3 linked regions of the Arabidopsis thaliana genome follow. The protein of the gene in region 3 interacts with the protein of the main gene of each other region in a pairwise test. Each region holds a gene or a part of one and is shown on either strand. Other genes may lie near its edges. The genes, in order: AT2G38950, AGL92 and SEP4.

What was found.
Region 1: the proteins of SEP4 (region 3) and AT2G38950 interact in a two-hybrid assay, tested with the Arabidopsis thaliana proteins (one large-scale study listed by BioGRID).
Region 2: the proteins of SEP4 (region 3) and AGL92 interact in a two-hybrid assay, tested with the Arabidopsis thaliana proteins (one large-scale study listed by BioGRID).

Annotation. Positions count from the first base shown.
Region 1 is NC_003071.7:16,256,323-16,268,762, forward strand, and holds AT2G38950 (Transcription factor jumonji (jmj) family protein / zinc finger (C5HC2 type) family protein), read left to right. Parts: upstream 1-4,480; 5' UTR 4,481-4,626; intron 4,627-5,192; 5' UTR 5,193-5,276; coding exon 5,277-5,546; intron 5,547-6,095; coding exon 6,096-6,173; intron 6,174-6,302; coding exon 6,303-6,749; intron 6,750-6,822; coding exon 6,823-7,026; intron 7,027-7,215; coding exon 7,216-7,377; intron 7,378-7,640; coding exon 7,641-8,009; intron 8,010-8,125; coding exon 8,126-8,722; 3' UTR 8,723-8,948; downstream 8,949-12,440. Other genes in the region: PHT1;4 (phosphate transporter 1;4), read left to right, coding at 2,178-3,782; ERO2 (endoplasmic reticulum oxidoreductins 2), read left to right, coding at 9,133-9,309, 9,444-9,578, 9,662-9,908, 10,075-10,185, 10,310-10,428, 10,522-10,626, 10,725-10,927, 11,032-11,155 and 2 more.
Region 2 is NC_003070.9:11,319,104-11,328,203, forward strand, and holds AGL92 (AGAMOUS-like 92), read right to left. Parts: upstream 5,074-9,100; coding exon 3,816-5,073; intron 3,726-3,815; coding exon 3,589-3,725; downstream 1-3,588. Other genes in the region: AGL86 (AGAMOUS-like 86), read right to left, coding at 1-444; ROPGEF14 (RHO guanyl-nucleotide exchange factor 14), read right to left, coding at 7,371-7,727, 7,800-8,150, 8,227-8,496, 8,583-8,657, 8,732-8,886, 8,990-9,100. UniProt on the Arabidopsis thaliana protein: Putative transcription factor.
Region 3 is NC_003071.7:1,124,797-1,135,342, forward strand, and holds SEP4 (K-box region and MADS-box transcription factor family protein), read left to right. Parts: upstream 1-4,471; 5' UTR 4,472-4,825; coding exon 4,826-5,010; intron 5,011-5,778; coding exon 5,779-5,860; intron 5,861-5,928; coding exon 5,929-5,990; intron 5,991-6,061; coding exon 6,062-6,161; intron 6,162-6,241; coding exon 6,242-6,283; intron 6,284-6,353; coding exon 6,354-6,395; coding exon of another isoform or gene 6,396-6,446; exon of another isoform or gene 6,447-6,471; coding exon 6,472-6,644; intron 6,645-6,741; coding exon 6,742-6,832; 3' UTR 6,833-7,042; downstream 7,043-10,546. Other genes in the region: MRH6 (Adenine nucleotide alpha hydrolases-like superfamily protein), read left to right, coding at 7,367-7,688, 7,980-8,068, 8,142-8,429. UniProt on the Arabidopsis thaliana protein: Probable transcription factor that binds specifically to the CArG box DNA sequence 5'-CC (A/T)6 GG-3'. Plays an important role in the determination of flower meristem identity. Involved in the specification of sepal identity.

The sequences.
Region 1 (12,440 bases), about 15 Mb from region 3:
TATAAAAAAAGAAAAGAGGTTGAACTAGTTGGGTCGGCGCGACGAAAAGAGAAAATACAACTTGCTGGGCTAAATCTAGAAATTTCCATTTCTGTAAATGCCTTAAATTAATGGCTCTTATTTATCAAATACGGAACAAACCCTCTTTACACCTTACAAGTTACGGGTATAGGGTGTTTATTCTCCCGTACCCGTTCAAACTACACTATATAATAAACCATTGACATTGTAGACCTATTACACATCCTGCAGTTATTGGCTTATTGCGATCTTTATTAAATCCAAAGATACATACTATATCGAAGAAACAAAAAGTCAAGAAATAATAAAACGAAAATAAATGAAGGCATCAATAAAAGCTTACCGCTCACATGTTTATTTTCTAATAACTAATTTTTATTTAAAAAGCAGTTTATACATCTACCAAATTTATTTCTTAGCATAAATATATATTTGGGTTTTGACTTTTAAGTTCTTTCTGACTTCTGAGTGATAATCACCAGTTTGCAACTTATATTTGCCTAAACCGCATGCCAATTGTCATGTATCGTATCTAGTAATGGTATTAATGACGAGGATCCCAAAATTTAAATTCCACTTTCCAAGCATTGAGCTCTTTAAACAATTCATGGTCAACTTAATTACAAGGAAAAAAAAGAACTTATTGTTATAGTGGAACAGCTATTTTTTTGGATATTAAAAGAATAATAACAGCAAAACAGAATTATCGTGTCCTAATAATACCTAAGGTCCTAAACGAAGCAAAAAAGTTGGTAAATAAGGAAGAGAAAACCTACAAGATATTAAAACGGTGTCGTTGTTCGGAAGAATATACCGAAGTAGCAAAAGGAATATCTCATTAGAGAGTCCCTTATAAATGACCGTTTTAATACACTTCAACTCTGTCCTTGTTCATAGGCAGCTTCAACGATCATTCCACTTCCTTCTTCCTCTCTCTCAACATTTTCCCCTGAAAATAAGGAAACTAAAGATTCTTCCTCTCTCTTTCTACACTCTTCTGACAATACTAAAACACTTTATCAGATCAGATCCCACATAAACTTTCTGTAAGTGTTTCTTTTAAACTATGTCTGTTGATGTTAATGTTTATGGATGCATAATGATTTTAGTTAGGACGTTATCGTTTTTGTTTTGTTAGGTGGTCCTCTCTCCCTGTTCAATCTCTAATTCGTCATGTCTTATTCGTTTCTTTCATTGGAAAAAAAACACTGAAAACTAGTTTTTGTTTTTCCAACTTTCTTGGATCATTAAATAGGATTGCTCTCTCTTCAAACGTATTTTTGTTGGATCTCTCCTCTTCAGTTCTAGAAGACTTTTTTTTTTTTCCTTTTGTTGAGTGCATGATTTCAAAAAATTTCAATTGAAGAAGTTTGTGATATTTTGTTGTTTTCTTTCTTCAATAAGAGGTGTGTCCGCAATTAAGACAAAACAACTCGCTGTCATACTCAGTTAAAGTCTTTGTTGCTCGTGTTCAGATTTTCACTAGACGTCACAAGTCAACTTTTGTGGGTAACTGAAGACAAATAGTAATCGTTGAAAACTACAATAATAAAATAAGTACTTCCAGTGTCTCCGTTCACCTTTAAAAAGTCGAGATAAACCCAAAAAAATAGGAATAAACAATCTTTTGTCATATCCGTTAATAAGTTTTAACAAATCTTTACAAATTAATAAGAAGAACGTATATAATAAATATTTCAAAATTAACGAGTGTGGACTAATATTGAGTTGACTTTTATTATCACTTCATTTCAGTTCCTTGAATATGCATATACTGTATATGGTTTCTCTTGCAATAAGTAAGCATCATACATATGTACAGGAACATGAGAAGTTGTCGTTAACAACTACTTCATCTAAAAAACATACACATGTTATTTTTCTAATATTGCCTGACTTCAAGTTCGGTGAACATACTTTATTGGGTTGTAATTGTGAGATCAATGAAATGAGAAAAATTAAATAGAACTTTTATGATATTTTAATGTTAATTGATACTATATAAAGCAGGGTCTAATTCTATTTGCTTTTAAAACTGCCTAACTTATTTCAAGTTCGGTATAACTAACTACTTTATTGTTTGTAATGAGTTATTTAAGGGTACTTATATGTCGAACTTTTTTTTGTGTGATGAAAAATTGCAGAGGAGAAGAAGAATGGCAAGGGAACAATTACAAGTGTTGAATGCACTTGACGTGGCCAAGACGCAATGGTACCATTTCACGGCGATCATAATCGCCGGAATGGGATTCTTCACTGATGCTTACGATCTCTTTTGCATCTCTCTCGTAACGAAGCTCCTCGGTCGTATTTATTACCACGTGGAAGGCGCACAAAAGCCTGGGACTCTCCCTCCCAACGTCGCAGCCGCCGTCAATGGCGTTGCCTTCTGTGGGACTCTCGCCGGTCAGCTCTTTTTCGGGTGGCTTGGTGATAAGCTCGGGAGGAAGAAAGTTTACGGTATGACGTTGATGGTCATGGTCCTTTGTTCAATAGCCTCTGGTCTCTCTTTCGGACATGAGCCAAAAGCTGTGATGGCCACGCTCTGTTTTTTTCGGTTTTGGCTTGGATTTGGCATCGGTGGTGACTACCCTTTATCCGCAACCATCATGTCTGAATATGCGAACAAGAAGACTCGCGGAGCCTTTGTCTCTGCGGTTTTTGCTATGCAAGGGTTCGGAATCATGGCTGGTGGTATTTTCGCTATTATAATTTCCTCTGCTTTTGAAGCTAAGTTTCCATCCCCGGCCTATGCGGATGATGCCTTGGGATCCACGATTCCTCAAGCTGATTTGGTATGGCGGATAATCCTGATGGCTGGTGCTATCCCTGCGGCTATGACGTATTACTCAAGGTCGAAGATGCCTGAGACCGCAAGGTACACGGCTTTGGTTGCTAAGGACGCAAAGCAGGCAGCTTCGGACATGTCTAAGGTTCTGCAAGTGGAGATAGAGCCAGAACAACAGAAATTGGAAGAGATCTCAAAGGAGAAGTCCAAGGCCTTTGGATTGTTCTCAAAGGAATTCATGAGTCGCCATGGGCTTCATTTGCTAGGCACTACATCGACATGGTTCCTTCTCGACATTGCTTTCTACAGTCAAAACCTTTTCCAAAAGGATATTTTCAGCGCGATCGGATGGATTCCTCCCGCGCAAAGCATGAACGCAATTCAAGAGGTTTTCAAGATTGCCCGTGCGCAAACGCTAATCGCCTTGTGTAGCACGGTACCTGGTTACTGGTTCACAGTTGCGTTCATCGACGTCATTGGAAGATTTGCGATTCAGATGATGGGTTTCTTTTTCATGACGGTCTTTATGTTTGCTCTGGCTATTCCTTACAACCACTGGACTCACAAGGAGAACCGAATCGGATTTGTTATCATGTACTCGTTAACATTCTTTTTCGCCAACTTTGGACCCAATGCTACAACCTTCGTTGTGCCGGCCGAAATCTTCCCAGCCAGGTTCAGATCAACCTGCCACGGTATCTCTGCAGCATCAGGAAAATTAGGAGCAATGGTTGGTGCGTTCGGGTTCTTGTACTTGGCTCAGAACCCAGACAAGGACAAGACCGACGCAGGATACCCTCCAGGGATTGGGGTCAGGAACTCGCTTATTGTGTTGGGTGTAGTTAACTTCTTAGGTATCCTCTTCACTTTCTTGGTACCTGAATCTAAAGGTAAGTCACTCGAGGAAATGTCCGGTGAAAATGAAGACAATGAGAATAGCAACAATGATAGTAGAACGGTCCCAATAGTTTAGGTGATATAATACGCCTTTTGTAATAATTTTCGTTTTTTCTTTCTCCTTGTCTCTAGCAACTCAAGTTGTTCTTTGTGTAATCCATTGATACCTAATTAATGCTAGAGAAATCAAAATTTTCATGAGTCGATTTTAAATCAGTTCCTAAATTGAAGATTTATTAGACTTGAAGAAGCCGTGCAAGTTGTGCAGTATATATGTTAAATCACAATTTATGCGTTGCGGGGAAGTTGAGACCACAGATAAAGGCTTCACTTAAAGATACATTATGGCTTATTAATCTCTAGGGTGAAAATAACGAAGTGCTGAAGAAAAACTCTGTTCTTTTAACAAACTCCCTTGCACCGAACAACATTCTCATTGTTCATCGACCTATGGAAGACCAAAAACGATTGCTACTTTGGTAAATTTTGTAAACTTTAGGGCATATGAAAGCGGTGGGTATATATTATAGTTTCACAATGGTAAGAAAAATATTTGGGATGTTACAGTATTTTTAGGCATGGTAAAAAGGCCCATATTGGACATAAAAATATGTAATCCCTCAAATGAAGTGGAAATTAGATAATTTATTTATTTATAAAACTCTGAATTTAGATAATTTCTTATCTTTTGTTTTTGTAAAAAAGAATTTCATGTTGGATAAAATATATATTGCATTTATTGTGTGTGACTATCTTATTGGTGGACAAAATATACATTTTTTTAAAAAAAGTATTATCATCGGAAATTAGGTTTTTCGACGGGAAAAAAAACCAATCACCATAACAAAATCCAGAGGCTCTGTTGTTCTTGGGGTTGAATGTGTAATGTCTCATAAGTCTTCGGATCTCACTTCGTCCGGGTATGTGTTCTACTCGCTTTTCGTCTGTTAAAAACTGGACCTTCCGATCGCTAATCAATATCAATCTTAGCTTTTTTTCGTCTTCCGGTTTTAGATTTTGTATCCTAAGCTCCGATACTCTTTACGAGAAGCGTTTTTATTTCAAGCTCAGAGTCAATCTTAGTATAGGGCTGCTAATGGTTTTCATGTCTTGGATCACATCCTGTGGTTGAAAAAGGAGTATTCTTTACTGATTCTTTTGAGAAAGCAATAACCAATAAAGTAGAAGGCTCTCCTTCGTAATTGACCTGGAATCTGTGATATAAGTATTGAAAGTACCATAATTTACAGTTTGTCTCTCAGTTCTTGAAAGTTTAGATGCTGTCTAATGATATATGGTGTATGAGTTTAAGTTCCTAGACTAATCAAGAAGACCGTTTCTGTGATCTTTGTGATGATGACTGAATCTTCTAAGTAGCAGTCTTTTTCTTCACACCTATCATTTTTTAGTTGAATAACGTATCGTAGTTACTGTGTTTAATCACTTGGTTTATACTTGACATTAGATTTCTTTCCATCTTCTGCAGGAAGTTGCATCTTTATTGACCTCATCTGAAGTTCAATTTATTTCGTCTTCCGGAAATCAATCCTTTTGGTGGCTGTAAGGTTTAATGGGCATTGAAGGTGTATCAACGTATTTGAAATCTGGAAATATGGACACAATTTCTGCTCCGCCAGGTTTTGTATCTCAAACATCGTTTGTGCTGAGGAATGTACCCCGAGACAAAGAAAGTCCCAGGTCCGTGTCGAGACAAGAGCAGACAACTGGATTCGGCACAGATGATAAAGATAGTTGCAATATGTTTCTTAAAAGCCGACCGTGGATAGTGCATGGTCACACAATTCCCAGCTCAGAGGCCTTAAGGCCGAAAAAAACTGAGGTCTCATACTATGTCTACCTCTTTCCTCTCTATCTTCATATAGAGTAGTTTTTAGCTTTGTATGCTGTTGAGAAGAGCAGTAAAGGGAATATAGTTATTTGAGAATTTTGAGCTTAGCCGTGAGGACAATGGTTCGACACCTTGTTGGAGGAGGGTCTTTTGAGTATCCTTATTAGAGCAAGAGCCAATTTGTTGTGGAGGAATGCTTTTCCTTTTCTTTTTATCAAAATAGTTATGTTTTCCTATTATTTTTTAGTTCTTTAGTCTATTATAAACATTCTTTGAGTTCAAAGAGGAGATATTTCTGGGAAATATGCATAGTCATTACTACTAATAGACATTATACTTGATTGATGTTTAAGTTGTTAGTTAAGCCGGAAATTTCATGTTGTGGATTGCATAAGTGATTTAGTATGAATTCTTTAGAGCTTGATGTGCTGATTCGGGTAGGTCTACTATGCCTTTAAGACGTATGAGAGTATAGGTATCATGATTGTGTGTTCATCCTTTCACATTCATTACTAAAGTATGAAAAAATGCTTTTCATAGGTACGGAGAAGACGGCCCCTCAAAGTGTCTGAGACCAAAGTCCTTGAGGAAGCTCCTGTGTTCAACCCAACCGAAGAGGTCAGTTTTGTTTTCTTTTTATGAAAGAAAAATTAGGGTATTAAACTAAATTATCTTTGGTAAAGAATCATGTACTCTTACAGAGGAATATATTCCTTTTCCTCTTACCCAGTGTTACTGAATTATCAGGAATTCAGGGACACACTCTCATATATATCAAGCTTGCGTGACAGAGCTGAGCCGTATGGAATCTGTTGTGTTGTTCCTCCACCTTCATGGAAACCTCCATGTCTTCTCAAGGAGAAACAAATATGGGAGGCTTCTACATTTTTCCCTCAAGTTCAGCTCTTTGGAATTCAGACCGAGAACCGAAAGATTAAAAAGGAGGTTGATGCAGATAGTAATGATGCTGCATCTGAAGGGGTTCAGTTATGTAGAGTAGAACGTGGTCCTGGGTATACTTTGAAGTCCTTTAAAAACTTTGCAGATACATACAAGAAGAGTCATTTTGGCATGAAGGATGAGGTTTTGGGTTCAGAGAACTCATCTCCATCACTTAAACCAAATGAGCTAATTGTGGCAGACATTGAAAAAGAGTACAGACAAATTGTTGAGAGTCCACTTATTGAAATTGGGGTAATGTTAAAAACAGTTGTTCTGCTTTTATATATGAAACGGAATATATCACTAACTTGTCGTGTAAATTTAGGTGCTTTATGGCAATGATTTAGACACTGCAACGTTTGGAAGTGGATTTCCCTTATCTGCACCATCTGAATCTAGCAAATATTCATCAGGTTGGAATCTGAACAGTACGGCTAAGCTTCCTGGTTCTCTTCTATCATTAGAAGACTGCGAATCAGTTTGTGTTCCTCGTCTAAGTGTAGGAATGTGCTTGTCTTCCCAGTTCTGGGTAAGTTTTAAGGTTGATGTCAAGCTATGGTCGTCAATTTCTGAAAGCATAAGTATAACTGGTCAACGCAGAAATAGCATTTGTTTTGCAAACTACCACTAGAATAAATTTTGCAGCATTGTAAGTTTATTAATCTAATTTGCTTGTGTAGTCTCATATTTGTCTCTTGGAATATCTGTTACTGAACAGAAATCTGAGAAGGAGAGACTCTACTCTCTCTGCTATTTGCATGTGGGCGCTCCTAGAGTGTGGTATTCCGTAGCAGGATGTCATCGATCAAAGTTTAAGGCTGCCATGAAAAGCTTCATCCTTGAGATGTCAGGAGAACAGCCAAAGAAGAGTCATAATCCTGTAAGTATTTGAACACATTAAGCATCAATACAAGTTACTCTTTTCAAAATTCCGAAAGAAAATAGACAGAAGAGTGACCAACAACGATTCCACTTGCGATTTAGTTCTTGTTCAGCATACACGACCATGACATGACATAGAGAGATCACACAGTATTTGGATTTATCTGTTCAAAGCAAATCCTATCATTACTTTGTTAAATTTTTGTGAGCTATTATATACTAGTATTGGTTCATTTACAAGGGAAGCAATTCATTTGGCAGGTGATGATGATGTCTCCATATCAATTGAGCGTGGAGGGTATACCAGTGACCCGCTGTGTCCAGCACCCTGGCCAGTATGTTATTATATTTCCAGGGTCGTATTACTCTGCCTTTGACTGTGGCTTCAACTGTTTGGAGAAAGCAAACTTTGCTCCCCTTGATTGGTTGCCCCATGGGGATATTGCTGTTCAGGTGAATCAAGAGATGAGTAAAACGTCGCTGATATCGTATGATAAGCTATTATTTAGTGCTGCAAGGGAAGCTGTAAAATGTCTTAAGGAATATGGGTTGTCGAAGAAAAACACAGCATGTTACACGAGATGGAATGATTCTTGTGGGACGGATGGGTTGTTCTCCAACATAATCAAGGTAATACTCACTGCTCCTCCTCTTTGCTTGTCTTATTCCTCAGATTATGCACTAAAACCTGCGTAGAATAACTTCCTCAGTACCTTTTGCTAATTTTGTTTCTCTCTTTTATGTAGTCACGGATCAAACTGGAGAAAAATAGACGTGAATTTCTTATCAGTTCACTAGAATCGCAAAGGATGGACAAGAGTTATGATGCTGTGAACAAAAGGGAATGCTGTGTATGTCTTGGGGATTTGTATCTTTCCGCGGTTAACTGTTCATGCTCTGCTAATCGTTACTCGTGTCTGAACCACATGAGGAAGCTCTGTGCATGTCCGTGTGACAGAAAGAGTTTTCTCTATAGGTACACTATGGATGAGTTGAATCTTCTCGTTGAAGCCCTGGAAGGTAAAAAGCTCAGCTCTATGTTCAGATGGGCAGGCATAGATCAAAAATTCTGTGCTTCTCCAGCCACCACAAGTTCAAAACCCGAAGAAGACAAAGGCAAGGAAACAGATGAGGTTACACCCTGTAATATCACGAGGAAAGATGTCGCAGCTGGAACTAAGGACCAGACAAGAGTGAAGGCGAGATCTTTGGCTGATATACTGAATGTTAAAGATGGAAACAATGATGCAAAGGAGACTTTAGAATCTTGTTCTAAGAAATCAAACAGGCCATGCGATAACGATTCCTCTGAGGCCAACGCGCCAAAGAAACAGAAGCAGTGATGAATAATGAAGGAGATTGTAGTTTAGTCACAAAATGCAAGACGATAAAAACACTTTTGTCTTCTTCTTAAATCGATATATGAAGCAACTTTTTTTTTTGGTAGGCGATACATGAAGCAACTTGATATGTGTTTTGTTTGTTTTGGCTAATAGACAAAAACATTTTTTTGGTTTCACTAATATTTATTTACGTTGACTCTAACTAAAGTAGAAGGAAAATATTTGACGAAAATACAGAGCCGTTGGATTTGATGACTTTATGAGATTGAGATTAGTTTTGACTTTCTTTTTTTGAGAGCTGCGGTTTTGTAAAAATGGCCCACAATTTCTCTGAAAATTCAAAATTCAGTGCCGGAGATTACTCGTCGTAGTCGTCTGTGTCAGATTTAGTTCTATTTGCGATAGTGCGAATGGCGGAGACGGACGTCGGAAGTGTGAAGGGGAAGGAGAAAGGATCGGGAAAGCGCTGGATTTTGCTGATCGGAGCTATAGCTGCCGTTCTGTTAGCCGTCGTGGTCGCTGTGTTTTTGAATACTCAGAATTCGTCGATTTCTGAATTTACCGGAAAAATATGCAATTGCCGTCAGGTTAGGTATTTCTAAAAGCTCTTTGTAAGTTTCTGAATTGGATACTTGAGCTCGTGATTAGCTTTGAATCTCAGCGATTACTTTGATTTTGATTTGTATACTAGACTTCTCAATCGTTTTGATTTTGTTGTTAGGCTGAGCAGCAGAAGTACATTGGGATAGTTGAAGATTGTTGTTGTGATTATGAAACTGTGAATCGGCTAAACACGGAAGTGTTGAATCCATTGCTTCAGGACCTTGTTAAGACACCATTTTACAGATATTTCAAGGTTGGTTCATATTTCTTCTTTGATCATGAAAGTATCTAGAGGATTTGGAGGTGTGTTGTGATAGGTTTGAATGCGTTTAATAGGTTAAACTGTGGTGTGATTGCCCGTTTTGGCCTGATGATGGCATGTGCCGGTTAAGAGACTGCAGTGTTTGTGAATGTCCTGAAAGCGAGTTCCCTGAAGTATTTAAGAAGCCATTAAGTCAATACAATCCTGTTTGTCAAGAGGGGAAACCGCAAGCTACTGTTGATCGTACCTTGGATACTAGAGCTTTTAGGGGTTGGACAGTCACAGACAATCCCTGGACCAGTGATGATGAAACTGACAATGGTAACTTTTCTTTACAGTCTACTTCATTTTTGATTCTTACATGTCGAAACTCTATCGCTACTTCATATATAACTGGCTCATGAGATGATATGTAACAAGTAGGGGTTTTAGCATCGAATTGCTATGTGTTAGATGCAGTTTTTGATGACTGTATATATGATCGCAGATGAAATGACATATGTTAATCTTCGGCTTAATCCTGAACGGTACACTGGCTATATTGGCCCATCAGCTAGAAGGATATGGGAAGCTATATACTCTGAGAACTGTCCCAAACGTAAGCTTCACCATATTAAAGTGTTTCTTGTTTTCTCTATTTGTTTCTTTATACTCTTATTCTCCAAGTGGCTGATTAATTCATATGGCTGTCTTAACTCCTGCAATTATACTGGCTTCTATAGATACATCTGAAGGATCTTGCCAAGAAGAGAAGATCTTGTACAAATTGGTTTCTGGTCTTCACTCATCCATTTCAGTTCATATCGCTTCAGATTATTTACTTGATGAAGCTACAAACTTGGTAAGATCTGCCGTACGAATCTGACTTATCTGTGATATGTATTTCTTAAGCAGATATAGAATGACTCAAAGACTACTTTTTTTTGTATTTCAGTGGGGTCAAAACCTGACGTTGTTGTATGATCGTGTGTTAAGATACCCAGACCGCGTTCAGAACCTATACTTCACATTTTTGTTCGTTCTTAGAGCAGTAACAAAGGTCAGTTACTTACCACTTTACTTTTCTGTCTGGATCCTAGGAAAAGGGTCCCAGTGGTCTAGAATAGTCACAATTAGTTTTTTTTGCATGATTTGTAGGCAGAAGATTACTTGGGAGAGGCTGAATATGAGACTGGTAATGTGATTGAGGACTTGAAGACCAAATCTCTGGTGAAGCAAGTAGTTAGTGACCCCAAAACTAAAGCAGCTTGTCCAGTACCATTTGATGAAGCAAAGCTCTGGAAAGGCCAACGTGGACCAGAACTGAAGCAACAATTAGAAAAACAATTCAGAAACATAAGGTCCTTCTTGAGTCCTTTAACTAATTTTCTTGAGCAATGATAAAATTTCCACTGACTAGCTAAGTTAAATTCTTTTTTATTACTTGAATCGTCTTGCATTGCAGTGCAATAATGGACTGTGTAGGCTGTGAGAAATGCCGTCTATGGGGAAAGCTTCAGATTCTCGGTCTCGGTACTGCATTGAAAATTCTATTCACTGTCAATGGTGAAGACAATTTGCGTCATAATGTGCGTTTCTAACACACCTGGAGACGCATTGTCCATTTGCACCGTGTATTTTCTTTAAGCGTCTATTGGGAACGGCATTTTAGTGATGTAGCAATCTTTGTTGTTTTGTTTCAGCTCGAATTGCAAAGGAACGAAGTGATTGCGCTGATGAATCTTCTCCACCGATTATCTGAATCCGTGAAGTATGTTCATGACATGAGTCCTGCGGCCGAGAGAATCGCAGGTGGACATGCCTCTTCAGGGAACAGCTTTTGGCAAAGAATAGTGACATCTATAGCGCAATCAAAAGGTAAGAAAGCATTAAAGAATTTGTAGACTTTAATCGTGAAGTGAGACAAGAGGTAGAAACTTATTTTCTCTGGTCACCACTTGCTGAAATGCAGCTGTATCTGGGAAGAGAAGCTAGATGTTCAATGAGGTCTGGGGGTTGTGGGATCAAGCGCAGTGATGGCGGGAGAGTATACTTTGTTGTAAAGTAAAGAGAGGTTAATTTTGCAGGAAACAGTTATACAAAGCCCCGTTAGATGCCAACCCGAAGCTGAGAACTTTTTGATTTACCCTTTAACGTGAATTTAGAGAATCTTACATGAAACTAAAAATATTGTACGGATTTTGAAATTTGTTGACAGTCCCTTCTGAAGTAAACATAGAATGGGTGGAAAAACGTGAATGAAGAGAGACATTTTTATTTGTTCGGTATCAGTTTAGGCATATCATAAATTGCCTACTCACCAAAGCTCCCATTACAAAATGTTGGGGTTTGGTTTACAACTTCGCAGATTTAACTACCTGAAACACATGCAATGTATAAAACCTTGAGGATAACTACTCTTGTATAGTAAAACTTCCAATTTCTTCAGGAAAACCTGATAACTAGTGTAGAAGTTATCAACCATTGGAATAAAGGTCTTTTAATATTGCAGCTGCATGTAAAAACACTAATTGTTTGGTCAGTGGTGCTATTCACATTGCATATGCATAAATATCAAAAACAACTGTTGGGTTACAATCAGTGTCATGCCAAGGTCAATAGAAATTTTCAAATTTCCCTGCACACTTTTATTTTAGTGCAAATGTATTCGAAACTTCGAAGTTGTATATACTATCTTGATGATAACTGCTATGTAATCCTAACTTCCTAACTCTCCGGATTTGGGAGAGCTGGAGAAACGTAGAGCTTTGCGTATAGTAGTAGTAATCAGCAACAAATTACGCAATATTTTGAAATGATTCTCACATGTAATGCAAAGAGGTTGCCAACAAAATTTAAGTGTATATTACAATT
Region 2 (9,100 bases), on a different chromosome or scaffold from region 3:
ATTAAGCTGATTGATATAGTGATCAATATAAAGACTTAAATCTTGAAGGTCCCTTGCACCATACTGATGCTCACTCATCTTACCTTCAACACAATCAAACATAAATTGCCTAAGCTGAGATTCTCGGTTTTCACGACGTAGACTCTCCAGTTTCTTTGTTTCTTTGGTAATTTTGTCCTGCAAGTAGGTCTCATGACTCATCATCAGCTTGGATTGTTCTGTCGCCGGCCTCTCCATAAACATGGAAACCGCCTCTTGAACACCTTCGGTTGACGGCCACACCACTGGATTCTCGTACGGACTGGAGATTACCGCACATGCTTTGACGCCGCAGAGAGTTGTTAGCTCATGGAGTTTGTTCGTTATCCCTCCCTTCCTCTTCCTGAATGTGGTTCTCCTTGAGGTCTTATTAGCTATGAGTGATAACTTAATTTTCGACCTCATTATCTTTGTTTTTCTTTTCTTTGGTGTGTGTTTTGTTTACTTTCTTGGCCCAAGACTGTCTTGTTTATATAGAAATGAAAATTGTGCTTTTACACAGTACGTGGCTTTTCACGTTGCTGGACTCATTAGATTTGTTTTGTGTTTACTGTCTCATTAATTGACGAGGCCACTAATTAAAGCTATGTCTAAGAATAGATTTTCTTTTCTTTTTACTAAGAATAGTTTATCTTCCTATATTACTCTCACTTTTCTTTTAAGAGTAATTTAAAGTTTTGTTTATAAACTATGAAATTTAGTAATAGTTTGAAGTGTTTTTTTTTCTTCTTTTTAAATAGAGTACTCCATCTTCAATTTACATGTAAAATCATGAATATATACAAGCTCAAAAGAGTTGTTTATTTATAGAAAAAAAATGAAAACAATATAACGTGAGTCTTACGAAATATTTAGAAAGCACGAAAGTTTTTGAAAACAATGTAACATGAATCTCACGAAATATGTGTTCTATTTCTAAGAAAATCTTTAAACTACCTATATACATTAAAGGAGAACATACCAAGAAGTTTGTAAACCAATATAATAAGATAATAAAATATCATTAAAATTTATATTAATTAATTTAGTAAAAATATTTGATACTTACAATAATAACAAATGAAAATATATAATAGTAGAGTATTAGAGAAAAATATATTTTTTTAAATCTCAGATTTGGTTATATGAACTTTTTTAATAAATATATTAAAAGAACATTTGTCATGGCCTGCAGGTCCACCTGATTTTTTTTAATCATTAAGTTGATTCTAATTAAAAGGAAATTTGGATAAAATAACTGTTTTATACATTAATAGATGGATTTCTTTCCTCTTTTGGCTCAGTAATAAATTAGTTTAGAGATAATTTGTTAAATCATGCATATATTATACCTTTTGGAGAATACTTTTTCTTTTATTGGGTTAGAATATTTCATTGCATTGCCAGCTAATTATAAGCTGTAAATAGGGAAATTAAAGATTTTAGACTACGTATAGAAAACTTCCAGTTGTTTTTACATACCCAAAGAAATATCTAAACTTTAAAGTATTAATATTTAAATATAGTTTAATTATATATTAATTTTTGGTTTAAAAGCAAAAAATGAACCAATTAAAAAAAGACAAGTGTAATATACCCAAAGTTCAAGTTAATATACCAAAAGTTCTTATTTAAGAACCTTTCTCTTATTTCTCTCATACTTTTTTTGTGTGGTATGATTATAATGAGAGAGAATCCAAAAAAAATGGAGGTCTAACAATAACCAAAAAATAAGAAAAACAAGAATGCACATCGTTAATTAGACTTTGTTTGACTGGTTCTCTTCTTATCAATTACATTTACAAAATGTAGAAATTTCTCTAAAATAAATAGCATATTTATTGATTTTTGATTAAATGTTTTCAAATAGTTATAAAAATACTATAGAGTAGAAGATATTACATGAGAGAATGGTAAATAATTCAATCCAGTAGTAGTTTAATTTCCATTCTCTTTAAATGCTAAATTTTATTTCAAGCTCACCGTATATTTTTGGCTCAGATAATAAATAACTTTCATCTGCCATAAAACACTAATTTTCATGTTTATTTATATGTTTAGTTAGGGGCGACTTAAGCTACTTATAGTTATAGGTCATGTTCAAAAGTTTAACTATAGATATCTTAAATAAGGTCCATATATATACATAAGAACTTTTTTTGGTAATCACGATCCGTTTAATCTATGTATTTAATTTACACATACTAAAACAATTCAAGGTATAGTCGATCTTATCTGAACGTTGTAGTAAGCATAACTGGTCACCAAAAATATGTTCTTAGTTGAAGTACACACTTGAATCCAACCCAAAAAACCTCGTCAGTGTTGGGATGATACACGAAGTGAAGCCTATAGTTGAAATAGAACGCTAGGAAGCCATTTTTCTAAAAAAAAATCTTAATGAATACTTAGTAGGTGATAGGTACAGATAGAGATACATTAAGGCTTGTGTTAATTTCAAATTACCTTAGGCCCATAATATATGCATATCCTAAAATATACCTTATTTTCTTAATATCTCAGCTTTTTATTTAAAATTTTCAGAAGAGCCAAATCAATTTAACCATATTCAATCTTAATACAGTCTTTAAAACGGTTTTTAAAGGAGAAGCTTCAGGTGGCACGCATCGAACTAGGAAGACCCTCTAAATCAAGGAGAAGTATCAGAAGGCACTTTACTTAAACACCACAGTCTACTGCTTCTACTTGGAGTTGTATTCACTGAATTACCTGCCTTAGCAACTGCAAACAAAAAATAGAAAACCAGTCTCTGTCCCATCGGAGAGGCCTTACACGGGACCAAAGCAAAGGCCTTTGGGGTGCTCTTTAGGGTCACATGAGCTAAGGATGCTACTCGGTGGTGCAAGGGAGTTATAACTCTTTCAAGATTTCTCCCATTCTTGAAAGAATCCAGAAAGCAAGATTCGCAAGTGTTCGGGAATATGCTTCAAGAAGCCCATGCATGACCAATGTCCTGAAAACAAAGAAGAAGGATTTAATATCGACAAATAATTGTATTGTAAAGTATGACATGTTTCAGAACATAAACTAAGAAAGATGTAATTAGTTCTGTTTATGTTTACATTGCCATATTGGATCTTTGTGGCATTAAGAAACGAGTGAGGAAGATTAGAGTGTTTGGATTTGATCTGATTTCTAAGCGCTTCTTTTCGGTTCAAGAGTGATTCACTGCGACCAATTTCAACAATGGTTCTCCTCGTATATATACTCAATGGTACTTCTCCTCCTATATATACAACTTCCGTCCTGAACTCTCTTCAAAATATTTAATCATATAAGTATTTAACCATAATGAAGGCTTGAAAAGTATTGATGTTTTTTGGAAACAAAATCCTATCTGATTTTGGCAGATCTATTTAGTTATGCATTTTAAGAACAAAAAGCTCGTAAAAAATAATTTGTGACCAAACAGAAATGACTTCATTGAAATAGAACTGACTTAAAGGTAAAACCTTCAACTCTTACAACAACTAATTGAAAAGGAAAAGCATAATTAAATACTGGTCTTTTAAAACAAACAAAACACAAAATGCACACTACTGAAACACATCACACATTGTTGTTGTTGTTGTTGTTGGTGGTGGTGGTGGTGGTGGAAGGCATGTGACCGGTGGAAGTAAGACCAACGGTTGGTGGCTGGTGGTAGTTGTAGTAGTTTCCGTCCATGAAAGGGATGTGTGCATGCTCTCCAACATAACCCGCTTATTCATAAGGATATTCTGTCAACATATTCATGAATGGATCATTTTGAAACGGATACTGATTTGGATCCAAACTCATATTCTGGTTCAAATTCATATCATAGTTTCCTTGTTGAATCTGATGATTAAAATCAACAGGAGCTTGGTATTGAACCGGCTCCTGTTGATTTTGATTCAAATTCATATTCTCAAACTGAAAATGATCACTAAAACCAGTAGGGACATAGGGCTGAACCGGCTCATACTGATTCTGATTCATAGGAAGACCGGCACCTGCAACACCAAGAGCTTGGTAGTGAACCGGCTCTTGTTGATTTTGATACAAATTCATATGCTGATATTGAACATTATCACTAAAAACAGTAGGGATATAAGGCTGAACCGGCTCATACTGCAACTGACTCATAGGAAGACCGCCACCCGCGACAGCAAGACTCTGGTAGTGAACGGGCTCATACTGATTCTGAGTCATAGGAAGACCGGCACCCGCAACAGCAAGAGCCTGGTAATGAACCGGCTCTTGTTGGTTTTGATTGAAGTTCATATTCTGATATTGAATATGATCACTAAAACCAGTAGGGACATAGGGCTGAACCGGCTCATACTGATTCTGGTTCACATTCATGTTATGAAATCCAGTAGGAACATTAACCGCAGCTTGATCTGCAACAACAGGAAGATTGGCACCCGCAACAGCAAACAGAGGAGGAACAGTTACCGCAGCTTGATCAGCAACAACAGGAAGATTGGCACCCGCAACAGCAAACAAAGGAGGAACAGTTACCGCAGCTTGATCTGCAACAACAGGAGGATTGGCACCCGCAACATCAAACAGAGGAGGAACAGAAGAAGAAGACTCACCATATTCTGTAAGGAACTTCTTCCTGGCATTAAGCTGATTAAGATATTGATCAGTAAAAAGACTTAAATCTTGAAGGTCCCTTGCACCATACTGTTGCTCACTCATCTTGCCTCCAACGCAATCAAACATAAAATGCTTAAGCTGAGTTTCTCGGTTTTCACGACGTAGACTCTCTAGTTTGTTTTGTTCTTTGGTGATTTGGTCCCGCAAGAAAGTCTCATGACTCATCATCGTCTTGGACCGTTCTGTCGCCGGCTTCTCCATGAACTCCGAAATCACCTCTTGAACACCTTCGGTTGACGGCCACACCGTTGGATTCTCGAACGGACTGTAGATTACCGCACATGCTTTGATGTCACAGAGAGTTGTCAGCTCGTGGAGTTTCTTCCTTATCCCTGCATTCCTCTTCCTGAATGTGGCTCTCCGAAAGTGTCTATCAGGTATGAGTACTAACTTAGTCTTCGTCCTCATTATCTTTATTTTTCTTTTCTTTGGTGTTTGTGTTTGTTTAGTTTCTTGGCCCAAGACTGTTTATATAGCAACGAAAAGGGTGATTTTTTACTCAGGGTGTGGCTTATCACGTTTCTGGACTCATTAATTTGTAGTTACAGCATTAAATCTTTTGGCTACTGTCTTATTAATTGATTAGGCCACTAATTAAAGCTATGACTAAGATTGGATTCTCTTTTCTCTTTACTAAATATAGTTTATCTTCGTATATTACTCACTTTTCTTTTAAGAGTAATATTAAGCTTTGATAAACTGTGAAAATTTCTAATATTTTAAGTGTTTTTCTTTTCTTTTCGAATAGAGTTTTACAGCTTAATTTCCATGTAAAATCATGAATATATAAAAGCTTAGGAACTTTGTTTATCTATAGTAAAATTATTTCGGGAAAGAATTAACGTGTCTTACGAAATATTTAGAACGAGCGAAAATTTTGAAATATGTAGACATTAAAGGAAGCCTACATAGAAAAAAGTTTGTAAACCAATATAATAAAATAATAAATATCATTAAAATTTCTATCATGTTTTAATATATAAAAAATGCTCTTTTATATGTATAAAAATTTATCTTTACAATAATAAAATATAAAAAATAATAATAAAGTAATAAAGAAATTTTTCCTTATAAAATATTAAAATCACAGATTTAGTTATATGAATTAAATTTTTAATAAAATATTTTTAAAAAATCTGCCATGGCCAGAAGGTCCATCTAATTTTGTTTAGTCAATAAGTTGATTTTAATTAAAAGGAAATAAGGGTAAAACTGTCTTTATACATTAATATAATAATATATATGGATTTTTTCCATCTTTTGACTTATACACTAATATGACTATTTATGACATTAAAACGTATCAATTAATGTACACGTGTAAAATCATGATTGGATATAAAAGAAAATCAGTTATTTTAGAGATAAATTATGAATTCATGCATATATTATACCTTTTGGAGCATATATTTTTCTTAATTTGGTTAAAATATTCATTGTACTGCCAGCTAATTATGAGCTGTAAATATTTGAAACTAGAAATTTGACAAGAGGTTTAGAGCACTTCCAATGGTTTTCACATATCCCAAAAAAGTATCCCAACTTTTAAAGTCTTAATATTTTTAATAATTTTAATTTAAAAATAAAAATGAACAATTAAAAAGAGACAATTGTAAAGTTCTAGTTAGTATACCCAAAGTTCTTATTTGAGAAATTTTCTCTTCTTTCTATCTTAAATTTTTTTTTAGTTATGATTATAATGGGGGAGTATCTTATTAAGACCCTCCAATAATTTTCATTTTTATTTATATGTCTAGTTAGGATGTTTGAACTATATATATAGGTCATGTTCAAAAGTTTAGTTAAAGATTTTTTAAATATGGTAAAATAATCTTTTGAAAAGTTATAGGTCCTTATTGAGTTATATGTATATGAAATTTTTTACAAGAACAGTTTTTTGGTAATCAAGATCCATTTGATCTCTATACTTGCTATATTGAAAACAATTATGGTCTGTTCGATTTTCTTTGAGTTAGTAAGCATAATTGGCCTTTAACAATATTTTGTGTTAGTATCGGATGGCACAGTTGAACTTAAATCCAACCCAAAAAACCTCATTAGTGTCGGGATGATAGACGAAGTGAAGCTTGCCATTTTGTTATACTTATTAGGTAGTATGTACAAACGGAAACTCATTAAGGCTTTGTGCTAATTTCAAATTATCCTTAAGCCCATAATATGTACATATCCAACCAAGATAGATCCCTTCTAAATGAAGACTTCTTATACTCCAATCTTGCTAGTGACTTAATGGAAGTGTGCAAAAGATAGTGGCTTGGTGAAAATACCTGTTAGTTGATCATTTGTCGAGATGACAGCTAATGCTTCATTCAAAGATGGAAGTCGGGATAGTAACCTAATTGAGATTCAAATTAGATTTCAAGAAAGTAGTAATTAAAATGATTCTAGTCTAGTATATTATAAATAGATTATGGTTTTGGACATTTTTGTTTTGAATATACCTTATTTTGTAAAGTATTTTCTGGAAGAGACTAATAAATTTAATCATAATCAATCGTATCAATTTTTTTTCCCGGATTAAAAATTTGCTTTTCACCGTGAAGTTATGAACAAAATTGTATGAATTCGTACTTTAACTGCAATATGTTAATACATTTACAACATCTCAGGCTTCATAATTTAAAACCTTCAAAGTAAAGGAGAAGCTTCAGGTGGCACGCATCGAACTAGGAAGACCCTCTAAATCAAGGAGAAGTATCAGAAGGCACTTTACTCAAACACCACAGTCTACTGCTTCTACTTGGAGTTGTATTCACTGAATTACTTGCCTTAGCATCTGCAAACAAAAAATCTAAACCAGTCTCTGTCCCATCGGCTTTGTTCATGTCATCGGTTAAAGAATGCCTTACACGGGACGAAAGCAGAGGTCTCTCAGGTGTCCTATAAGGGTCACGGGAGCTAGGGAAGCAACTCGGTGGTGCAGGAGAGTTAGGGTTGCTTAAAGAATCTTCTTTCAAGATTTCTCCCATTCTTGAAAGAATCCGGAAAGCTAGATTCGCAAGTGTTCGGGAATATGCTTCGAGAACCGCATGACCTATGTCCTGAACACAGAGAAGAAAGATGTTTCAGACCATTGGACTAAGAAAGATGTAGTTAGTTTTGTTTATTTATACCTTGTCATATTGGATCTTTGTAGCATCAAGAAACGAGTGAGGGAGATTAGGGTGTTTGGATTTGATCTGAGTTCTAAGCGCTTCTGCTCGGTTCAAGAGTGACTCATTGCGACCAATTTCAGACAACGGATCTTTAGCGAATGACCACGATGCTCTTACAGGGGATTTACCATTGCTGCCTTGTTCTGTAATCCTTTCTTTCCAAGCAAACATAGCAGATTCTAACTTGTTAACTGTCTCGAGTGCTGCATGTTCGGTTCCCAGATTGAGCGATATAAAGATTTCATCTACTGTTGCAGATTCCACAGCCAACATCTTGTACAGTTCATCACCGAGGCTGTTCTTTCCAGACTGTTACAAAACAAGATTTTAGAGGTAGTTGTATAATTATGACTATCACAAGGGATAATAAAGAGTGCAAGCTTACTTTAGGTATTGCTTCCTTGATAACAATGGGAACTGGCATTTCAAGAAGAATGTTTTCGTTTATGGCTTTTGTAGCTTTGAAGACTTGATAAACAACTTTTCCTTTGTCAAGCAATTTCTTCCTTCCTGAGTTAGAGAGTCCAGGTTTAGGCACTTGTGGCGATGGAAGCCACCATCGTTTGCTCTCACTTGTACTCTTGTTCTTCCCTTCAGCTCTACTACCAATCTCAGAATACCAAAACTCTGTGTTCACCATAGAATCCAGTGTCTCCTGTGGAGTTGTAATGCAACTTTAATCAGATCAGGAAATAGAAGAATAAGAAAAGACAAGATTAACAAAAGAGATAATCCGCTCACAATTAGCATTGAGTCCAACTTCTGAAGAGCTGGGAGATTCATATGAATGTCTGCGCGGGCTTTCGGAGTCATTATCTGTTAAAACAAGGATTCAGCTCAGTTTCTTCCTCTGGAGTATATCTATTTATTTTAACACCTTAGCTACGTACCTCAAGTGATCTTCCATTGGCATCATTTTGCTTAGAAGGGACTAACTCAATCATGTAGTTAGTTGGAGAAAGTAGCCAATCCATTTCCCTTCTCCATTTCTGTTTCTTCTCTTCACACAAAGGTTCCAATTTCCAGAGCTCGCCAAAAATCGACGCTGCAAATTCATTAAAGTCAGTTACTCTTAACAGTTCACACGAAACCTCTAACCATATCAAAGAACATAAAGCTTAAGAATGCTAGGAAATTGTAAAACATACTAGCAAGATGTGTTACAGCATTTGACAAAGCCAAAGCTACTTGGACACCCTTACATCCCCCAGTGACATCTTCGCCGAGCAATAACTTAGAAAATTTCTCCTTCATAGCTT
Region 3 (10,546 bases):
TGTAAATACTAAGTTAGCGTTTTTTTAATTTGGATTAAGAAACACATACGGACTGAATTAGTGTTTTCTGATATGATAATCTAACAATCATAATCTACTTACGATCATATATTATATAGGCGAACAGCAGCAATTGCATGGGTTGCATATATTATCTATATTATATATAGATTTATTTTTCAGACGGTTTAAAAGTTCTTTTTCAAACAAGAAACATCTAACATGTACTATATTTGCAAAGCCAGAAAGAGCTGTTAAATTGTGAAAGAGATTCCAATAAATACTAGACGCAGAAAGGCAGAAAAAGTTGTTACAAAATCATGTCTCAACATTTTAAAATGCCTATGGTCCATCGAGTAGTAACTAGGGTTTTAGACCATCATGGGGTCTAATTAATGTAGTTTCAATTTGTTAGTCTAATTATACGGAAGAAACCCTGCAAAATGATGTTTGTAACCTATAGCCATTTAACAAAATTTTAATATTTTGGTCTGCAAAATCATATTAAATGATAATCGTACATACAAGGGACCTCTCCCCAACAGAACAAGAGAATTGCTACTAGCTACTAGTTACCCCAAATATATACATACATAAATGAACAGAATTAATAATTGAGTTTCTGAAAATGACTATTGTTTTTTTTTCTTTCGAATTGTACTAATAAAATAGCTTCATGTGGTTCTTGCAAAACTTACCTTTTTTTTATGTCAACCACTCACATTAAATTTAAGAAAAAAAAAATTGGTTATATAAACTGGAGAACAATACTTTACAAATGAATCAACAACGTTCCTAAGTCTAAAAGTATGGATAAATCAAGAATTAATTATGAGTTTACCATTTGTGGCATTTGTAAATTTTTCATAAAATTATAAAAATACGATTAACATGTGTTTTATTCGTTATGTTTGAATTTATTAGGTTTTATGTGTTCTTATAAAGTATGTATTTTAGTATTAAAAATCGTAAATTTAATAATTTTAAATGATCAAAATAGTAAATCCGTAAAATTTTAAGAAAATGGCAAAATTCATAAATGTCACTCCAAAAAATAGTAAAAATCCTTAATAATTTCAGAAAACACTATGTTTCAGAATTGAAAAAAACGAGAAATAAAGACAAGAGAAAAAAAGATACTAAATATATCACACTAGCTCCCATGGAGGAACTTAAAATCGTGAGAAAACATTTTGAAGAAAACTTGTCACTTTCATGCAGGTTAAGTATTATCAACTCTTAGATATATATTTAGCTCATAAATAAACTGACTAGTCTACATTAAACTTTAGTATACAGAGAAAAAAGGAAGATAAATCTCGTATTTTGAAATTTTTGCATCAATCATGCATCTTAAGCCTGATATTAAGATCTGAATTCTTTCAATAGAACGATCCAATTGACATCTTATTTCTAATACATCTAGTTGAACAATAATATTATCTTCTGCAAATATGACTAACTAATACTTGAGCCTTATTCCAAATTTTTCGAAAACAGGACAATAATGTATCATAATTATTTCTTTCTAATTAAGCTTATCATATATAATTATGCATCATTTAATAACTCCTTTTTCTTAAGTGATTACTGATTAGAATGATTAATAATGTATAGACCATCTCTAGGAGTAATTTGTGGAGACGTATAGAAAAATAATTATTATGACTATTAGGTGAGTACCCACGCTATGCGTGGGTTGTTGTTTTGAAAATTGTTTAGAAAAATTATGTTTAACTATTTTTATTGTTAATTTATGTTATTTTTGTGTATGGTATTTTGTAGTTAATAAAGTTATATTCATTTTTTGTAATTATATGTGTATAGTTAGATTCACTTTTGATTCAAATATCAATTATATTCTAATCTTTTTTCACTATCATGAAATACTTACATTAACAATACATGATACAATGGTATGCAATTATGTTTACTTATTTGGTTTGAAAGTTATCTAAATTGATTCTAAGCAAAAAATTCAATCTATGTATTCTCTCCTAATCTAATATTCCAATCATAGGCTCATAGCTAAATATTGGATTGACTTGATTTGAATAACAAATGTATAACTAACTATACTCATTTGCTTTAAAAGATTTCACATGAAAGAGAAAAAAAAAAAGCAAAAATTAAATAGTATTTTAGATCAACATTTTTAGGTTTCTCTCTTTGCATTTGCATATATCTCTATTGGAGAGAGTGTCGTATATTAAATTTTTTAGTATATATAACATCTCAAAAGACCATTACTTAAAAAAATATGTATGTAATTATTAATGTTATCCATTTATCGTAAAGCACAAAAAGACCTTATCATATAGAAAAAAAAAGTAATAATAAGAAAATACTAAGTTAAAATTCTAAACTAATAAAAGTTAGCAAACAAGTAAGTTGCAATACCCGAAAATTTCTACTCGTTATCAAGTAATGACTATTAAAAAATAGCAAAATAAGAAAAGTAAAATGAAAGTAGTGTTTAATACATTAACATGATTTTTCATATTTTTTCTTTTTGATGAAGACATTTAGTTAAGAATGGGATTAATGGGTGATTCAATGCAATGTGATTTTTTTTTTTTTATCACTAAGTTTTGTTATTTTTTAATGATATTAATTTAGAATGACATGTGGCACTCATTGGTGTGATGATGTGTTACTCATATGGAGAGTGTTGGCCAACTTTCATATATATAATTTTATCAGAGATCATTTCTAAACTAGACATTTTAAAGTTGTGTATTATCTACCTAAATTATCCATATAAAAGATGGAATAGCACATTGCAAGTATTATATCGTATTTATTCTTTTTAGATGTTTCCTAAAGCATCAATCTATATGTTGCATGTTGTAAGGTCACAACTTGGAACCATAAAAGAATGGTGGAGGATAGCAAGTGCGTAGAAGATAAGGATCATTTTACATGATAATCTGGATAAGACATGCGCATATACATCAAGTTTCCATCAACAAGATTTATAGTACCCAAAAGAAAGAAAGAAAAAAACTAATATTCCATCGATCTATAGAAGTTGAACAAAATAACTAAGGTACCAAGTGAAATATGAGTCAGCAAGCAAAGTTAAAAAAAAAGTTGTGTGAGACATATCACATGAGTAAATTAACAACAACCATCATCATCATGATGTAGATAGTATAAGATGCCATGAGAAGAAGTGAGGAAAAACAAATTAACCTGACAAGAAGCATCCTAAAAAATTAACCTGTCAAACAATTACCAACCTTTAAAGTGAAAAAAAAAGTTGAAAACACTAAGGCTTTGAGAGCTTAAATGTTCATAAACAATTTTCCTTTTTCTTGCCAAGATCAATCTGCAATTTTTGTGTCAAGCATGTACGAGTTATTGTTATAAATAAATCTAGAGTCGTTATGTGAGTTCTACTGTATTTTATGAAAATCGATTAACTAGTAAAATACATCAGTCTTCTTAAGAAGAGAACCTAAACACGAAACCCTCTAATAAATGCTAGATTGCATATTCTTACACATCTATATTAGTGTCAAAAACATGATTGGACTGATTTTATAGTATTGAACAAGAACGTGACTAAATTTTCAGAAATTGGAAAGAAAACAAAAACATGATATATTTCAATATCTAAATTTCACCATATATATATAAAAAGACATAGTGCATGTGAGACGTAAAAACCTTTGTAAATAAATTTTCTCTTTAAATAGTAAATAGTACCATATCAGATTAACCATTTCAGAGTGACATAATTTGTTTGTAACCGTATAGATCCGTTTTATGCATTAAAACGATCGTGAAGTAGCTGTCATACGAAAGAACTTGTCGGCAAGAGAAGCAAAGCATAAGCAGAAAAAAACATATCTTTTAGAAGCCTATCATTTTCTTACTTTTATTCACAAACACACACAATATACATTATAAGTGTTATCTACATAATCTAAACGTGTCAATACCTGAAAAAACAACAAAACTTTATTTGCACTTCTTTCATTTCATGAACAATACATAACCAGATATTAGATAGGACTTGGACTTGTGAATATGCTCTATTTAAGGCATCTTTATAGGTTATATTTAGAATCTTTTTCTTATTTCTTTTTTGAGCATATTATTAAACTATGGACTAGATCTGATGAAAGAAAGCAATCTATTTATATATTATGGTGTAAATATTATCTTTAAAAAATCCAATGGAGGAGAGTGAAAGAGAAAAGTTGAAGCATTTTGTTTGGACTATAGAGAGAGAGAAAAAAAGATCTTAACTCTCCTTAGAAAAGTACTAGGAATCAATTTTTATTTTCTGCAAAAACAAAAGTGTAAAAGAAAATTAATAATAATATATATTCCCTGATGAAGTAAGACTAAAATAATGTAACTACACAAAAATACTTTTTAGAATTTATAATATTTTATATTAATTTTTAAAAAAGGAAAGTTGATAAGATTGGATATAAGTTTGGAAGCATTTATTTGGCCAAGAATGGCTTAGCATCTCTGCAAAACCAACACAAAGCTATATTCTCTTAAAAATCAGTTCAACAAAAGAAGAACCTGAACACAGTTGGCCCACCACCACCACTACCACAATCTCCTCCTCCACCACCACCACCTAGTCACCGGAAACCAATTCATGCCCTAGATTAAGAACCAGAATCCTTTTGAGACAAGATCTATATATACACTCTACACATTTACTTATACACTTTATCTAGATATAGATGTGTGTGTGTATAAAGGTTCTTTTTCATTACTTGTTGGTTTAGTGATAAAAAGGAGGAGAGTTTTCAGTTGGGTTTTGGTTTCTTGGTGAGAGAAGAGAGAAAAAGAGAGGATGGGAAGAGGGAAAGTTGAGCTGAAGAGGATAGAGAACAAGATCAATAGACAAGTTACTTTTGCAAAGAGAAGAAATGGTTTGCTCAAGAAGGCTTATGAGCTTTCTGTCCTTTGTGATGCTGAGATTGCTCTTCTCATTTTCTCTAACCGTGGCAAGCTCTACGAATTCTGCAGCAGCCCTAGGTGAAAACTCTTTAATCTTTGATATATCTACTTTTTCCCTCAAAGTTTCTATATTTTGATCCATGTTAGGGTTTTGATTCTTAAGGATTATAAAGGATATGAAAACTTTGTTGTCTTTCTTGATTTAGTTACAATTAATTAGTTGATTAACTACGGTTTATTTATTTTGTGAGTTCATACGCATAAATCTGGCTCGTAAAGAGTGAGATTAAGTGAACGATGATCAAAGTACGTACAAAGCGTCTAAGTTGCTCTAGATGATGATTAAAGCTAGAGAGTAGAGACTATGGCTGAAAAAAGTACAGTAGATATGTGTAGAAGCTATAGAGCATATATAAATATAGTTAAAGCTTTTACACATGAGATTGAGTGTTGTTGATATTGTTTCCAAAGGATTGATCAGAGTTTCCAAAGAGACTAAGAATTGACCTCTGGATATATACACAAAGCTGTAAAAGATATAAAAAATACTTTGACTACTTCTTTAAGTTAGTATCTCTCTCAAGTACTACTTATGATCTTATTAAAGTTATAAAGAGACAACTGTGATGATACTCAATTTCACTAGCTACTTATCATTTCCACATAAATTTATTTTATTTTTCTTGCACAAACATCATGAGATTGATACCCATTTTGATGTTCTTGATGTTTTTACATGGAGATGCTTTTAAGGTTTTTTTTCTATATTATTCTCATAATGAAATTTAAAGTTTGGTTTATCAATATATGTTAAAAGTTAAAATGATCATTTGTTTTTATGAAAAGTGGTATGGCGAGGACGGTTGATAAGTATAGAAAACATAGTTATGCAACAATGGATCCAAATCAATCAGCTAAAGACTTGCAGGTACATATCTTCTCTTTCAATCAAAGACTGACCTCAAAGTTGTCCTTAATTTTATTTTAAATTGGCAGGATAAGTATCAAGACTACTTGAAGCTTAAATCAAGAGTTGAGATCCTTCAACATTCACAAAGGTACTTATATATCCTAGTCCATCTAAATGTAACTATATATGCTCTTGTTACTAAATGTTTCTTCTTTTTAGGCATTTGCTAGGTGAAGAGCTATCCGAGATGGATGTGAATGAGCTTGAGCATCTCGAACGCCAAGTAGATGCATCACTAAGACAAATAAGATCTACCAAGGTATATTTCTAAGCTTACAAAATCGACAAATTTTGTTTCGAATCTTTCATCCTAAATCGTTGTTTCGTTTTCATTGCCAGGCTCGGTCTATGCTTGATCAACTATCTGACCTCAAAACTAAGGTACATACTTTATATAATAAAAGTTGCACAATATCCAAATACAACAAGCTCTCATTTTCTCAATTTACAGGAGGAAATGTTATTGGAAACCAATAGAGATCTTAGGAGAAAGGTAGCTATCGGAATCTTTTACCGCAAGAAACTGAAACCATTTGTCATTTGAAATCTTCCTATTCTTTCTTTCTCAGTTGGAGGACAGTGATGCAGCACTTACTCAATCGTTTTGGGGAAGTTCTGCTGCAGAACAACAACAACAACATCAACAACAGCAACAAGGCATGAGCTCTTATCAATCAAACCCTCCAATTCAGGAAGCAGGTTTCTTCAAGCCTCTACAAGGCAATGTAGCATTGCAAATGAGGTATCTACAAACAAATAGTCAAGACCCTTGAATTATTTTACCTAATCAGAAATACTTAACATTTGTTTGTGCTTCTTTATTGTTTTGATATAATTAGCAGTCATTACAATCACAATCCTGCAAATGCAACCAACTCTGCAACAACATCACAGAATGTTAATGGATTCTTCCCTGGATGGATGGTCTGAAAACAATACATATCTATATATGTACACATATGTGTGTTTTATAGATCAAAGATCATTGCTTGTGTCATTTGATTTTTGCCAGAGAAACATAGTTCATTATTACAAAACTTTGTTATATAATCAAGGCTCTAATGTCAAACACCAGATTATTACTTTTTTGTTCTTTGTTTTTTGGCTCTCTTGAAATATAAAATATTGTTTTGGGAGCTTATTTTTGTTTTATTTTTGAACATCATATGAATTTGTTAGATTATGACAAAAGTTCTCCGGATTAGAACATGTCTCAAGAATTGGATTCTGAAACAAGTAGTGCTCTGCATTTGTATTAAGATTGTGATGTTGATAATTAAAACGACTAAATAATTTTTGCCAGGTTGGATTATAATGAACAAGTCCAAAATGTTATTTTAATTTTATTTTCATGGCAAGCACGTTCAAGAAATGGCTCCAACCAAAAACCAAACAAACATAACAGTATTTAAAACACAACTAAAACCTCAAAGAACAGAGAGAAGAAAAACAAGAATTAAGAAAATGGGGAAACCAGCAGGGTATTGGGTAAATAAGATTAGGACATCATTCAAAGGAGGATCATCGTCGAGCAAATCATTAGATGAAGGAAGTACTTCGGGTTCGAGAAAGAACGGTTCGAAGCATAGTAAGAATCTGAAAGCAGAGGATGCTAATAAGAATGGTGAAGGAGGAGGAGTTCAAGCTGAGAGTGGGAGGAAAGTGATGGTTGTTGTGGACACAACTTCACAAACTAAGAATGCTCTTCAATGGGCTTTAACACATTGTGTTCAAGATGAAGATAATATCACTCTTCTCCATGTCACAAGAACACCCGTAGGACAAGGTATATTACTCATATGTTGCATTTACTAGAACCTTTAATATAGAGGTAAAACCATTAGAGCCAAAACTCGAAACCTTGTTATATATCTTGCCTAGAAAACAGGGTGAAGACCGCTTCTTTTGGGTTTTTAGGCGAATCAGACCTTAGATTTGGTTTTGGGCTTTTTTGGGCCCAATGTTGTTTTCTGTGTGGTAGATTTGGTTTTGATTTGAGTATGGACAGGACTATAGCATATTTGACATCTATACCTTATTGAGTCGCTATTAACTAATGTGATCATTGTGTTAATAGCTATAGATGAGACACAAAGGGAGAGAAACTCAAGGGCTCATGAACTAGTTCATCCATTGAAGAATTTTTGTCAACTCAAGAAACCTAACGTAAGCTTTAAGCAACAGCAAACTGATATTGATTCAAAAGTTCTCCTTTGTTGACATTAAGGTTTATTTTCAGGTCAAAACGGAGATAGTGGTGGTTGAAACGGCGGAGGAGAAAGGTAAGACGATAGTGGAGGAATCAAAGAAACAAGGAGCAGGCGTTTTGGTGTTAGGGCAGAGAAAGAGAACCTCGAAGTGGCGCGTGATTTGGAAATGGCGTACGAAGGGAGGAATGGGAGGAGGAGTGGTCGAGTATTGTATTCATAACTCCGATTGTATGGCTATTGCCGTAAGGAAGAAGAGTAACAATGGAGGTTACTTGATCACCACGAAACGTCACAAAGATTTCTGGCTCTTGGCTTAATTTTTATTTCAAACAAATTCATCCCAAAATCTTTTTTTTTTTTTTTTTGTAATCGAAACGAATCTTTTTAAAGAATTCATGTTTTATGGATTAATTGATAATCTGTATTCGTTATAAGACCTTTTCTTATATATGTAAAGACTTCATATTTGTCAATGTTTGTTATTGTGTTCTACCTCAAAGTATAATAGAATAGTAACATTAAGCAAAGCTTTATCAAAAAGAGAGAAATAGTATAAGCAGAGAAAGAAGTCACATAGAGCAACATTATTTCATAAAGTAATATTATTACTTCAACATATAACGGTCATACCCTCCGATATCTCCTCCTCCATTCCCGACTTGAAACCGGTAAACACATGCTTTGGTGACGGCTCCGACGGTAACGACTGTAGTTGTAACGGCGGTTATTGTGAAACTGAGGTTGATACCTATTAGAGTGAGGACAAACAGGACAGTAATAGTTAGGAGACCCATATGATTTGCTTTATCTCTTTTGTTCTTCTACATATTACTATCATAAGCAGAATTATAAGTTATATTTAGTTGTCTTGTATGGGAATAATAGAAGTTACGTTATTGGAACAAAAAATAAGGGGAGGTCAAGATTTGAATGGCTGATTTATTGAAACGCCAGTTCAATTTCCTAGGACGTGACCAAGACTAGAGAATTTATTAATGTAATGTAATTGCATGTTCCCTTCGAAACAACGTTTCGGGTTACTAAGCAAACTTTTAGATATAGACGTCTTGGGAATTTGAATGCTTTTGTTCATAATCAATGAACGACAAAGGATAGTTTGTACTAAGTTAAACCGTTCTGACTTCTCGTAGTGATATATTCAACGGAATATTGTGGTTAGTGCGAACTCATCCGTCAGTAGTCCAATCCATACTATTTTTGGGATGGACAATAAAGCGATGCAGACTTAGTTTAAAGACCGTCTGCAGTTAGTCCGCAACAGTTTTCTTTTATTTTTGGGGGTCCGCATCATTACGGACTATAATTTGTGAATGATAAATAAAAAGCGATCCAATGTATAGACGCTTTTGTCCGCTTAGACAACTGTAAACATTGATATATTCTCTAACTTGTCAGTAGTTTATTCTCTAAAGCCTACATTAATATATATGCCTATTATATAACCTGTAAGTAGTTAAAATAGAATAAATTTTAATTTCACTAATCTCCTAATAATAGGCTAATACACTAATCATTTATTTTTGTAATGTTATTTTTCTGGCAGAGTAAACGAGAAAAAAAAAAAGATAGAGAATGGAGATACACTAATCAAGGTTGAGAAACTATTAATCACTTTAGTATAAGGAAAATAAATCATAACTTTAAGTTGATAAACTTAAAATTTTAACTATTAAAATTTTGGTGCAGCACAAATTAATTAAGCAGTTAAATCGTATTACATAAATTATTTAAAGAGAGTATTTAAAAATAGACCAATATAAATAGGAAATATACTCTAGTGAGCCCAAAAGATGACTAGTTAGTAAGTACAATGCTTTAAGTTATGTTGAAATAATATGTGAATTAATCTTTAATGTTATATATATGGTTTTCTTCTTGATAAAATCATAAGAATAAAACGCTGAAGACATCGTCTAGCCCACAATTGGGTAGACCAAATTCTACTCGATATTGTCAAGATCTAATTTGCAACCAACTCTTCATGCGATACAAATTTTGCTATTACGTTCCTTTTGCATGTACCATTCTTAATTTTAAGTAATGTTTTGTAAGTAAATATTTTTGTTGAACAATTAAATTCATATCTCGAATAGATATCACATGAATATAATAAAAGGCGGACAACTCCGTTGTCAAGTGGATGCTTCTTGGGTAGCAGATGGTAACACATCCGGTCTCGGATTCGTGATCGATACTCCATCAGGAATCTTACTCGGTTCTAGAGGTAAGTCAAGAGCTCTATCCCCCCTTCAGGCTGAACTGGAGGCTCTCACTTGGGCTATGGACTCTGCGTTACATAGAGGTCTTGACTCGGTACACTTTGACACGGATTGCTCGAAGTTGGTGAAAATTATTGAAGAAGAAGATCCGGGACCAATCTTTGAAACAGAAATTGAGTTCTTTAATCTTATCC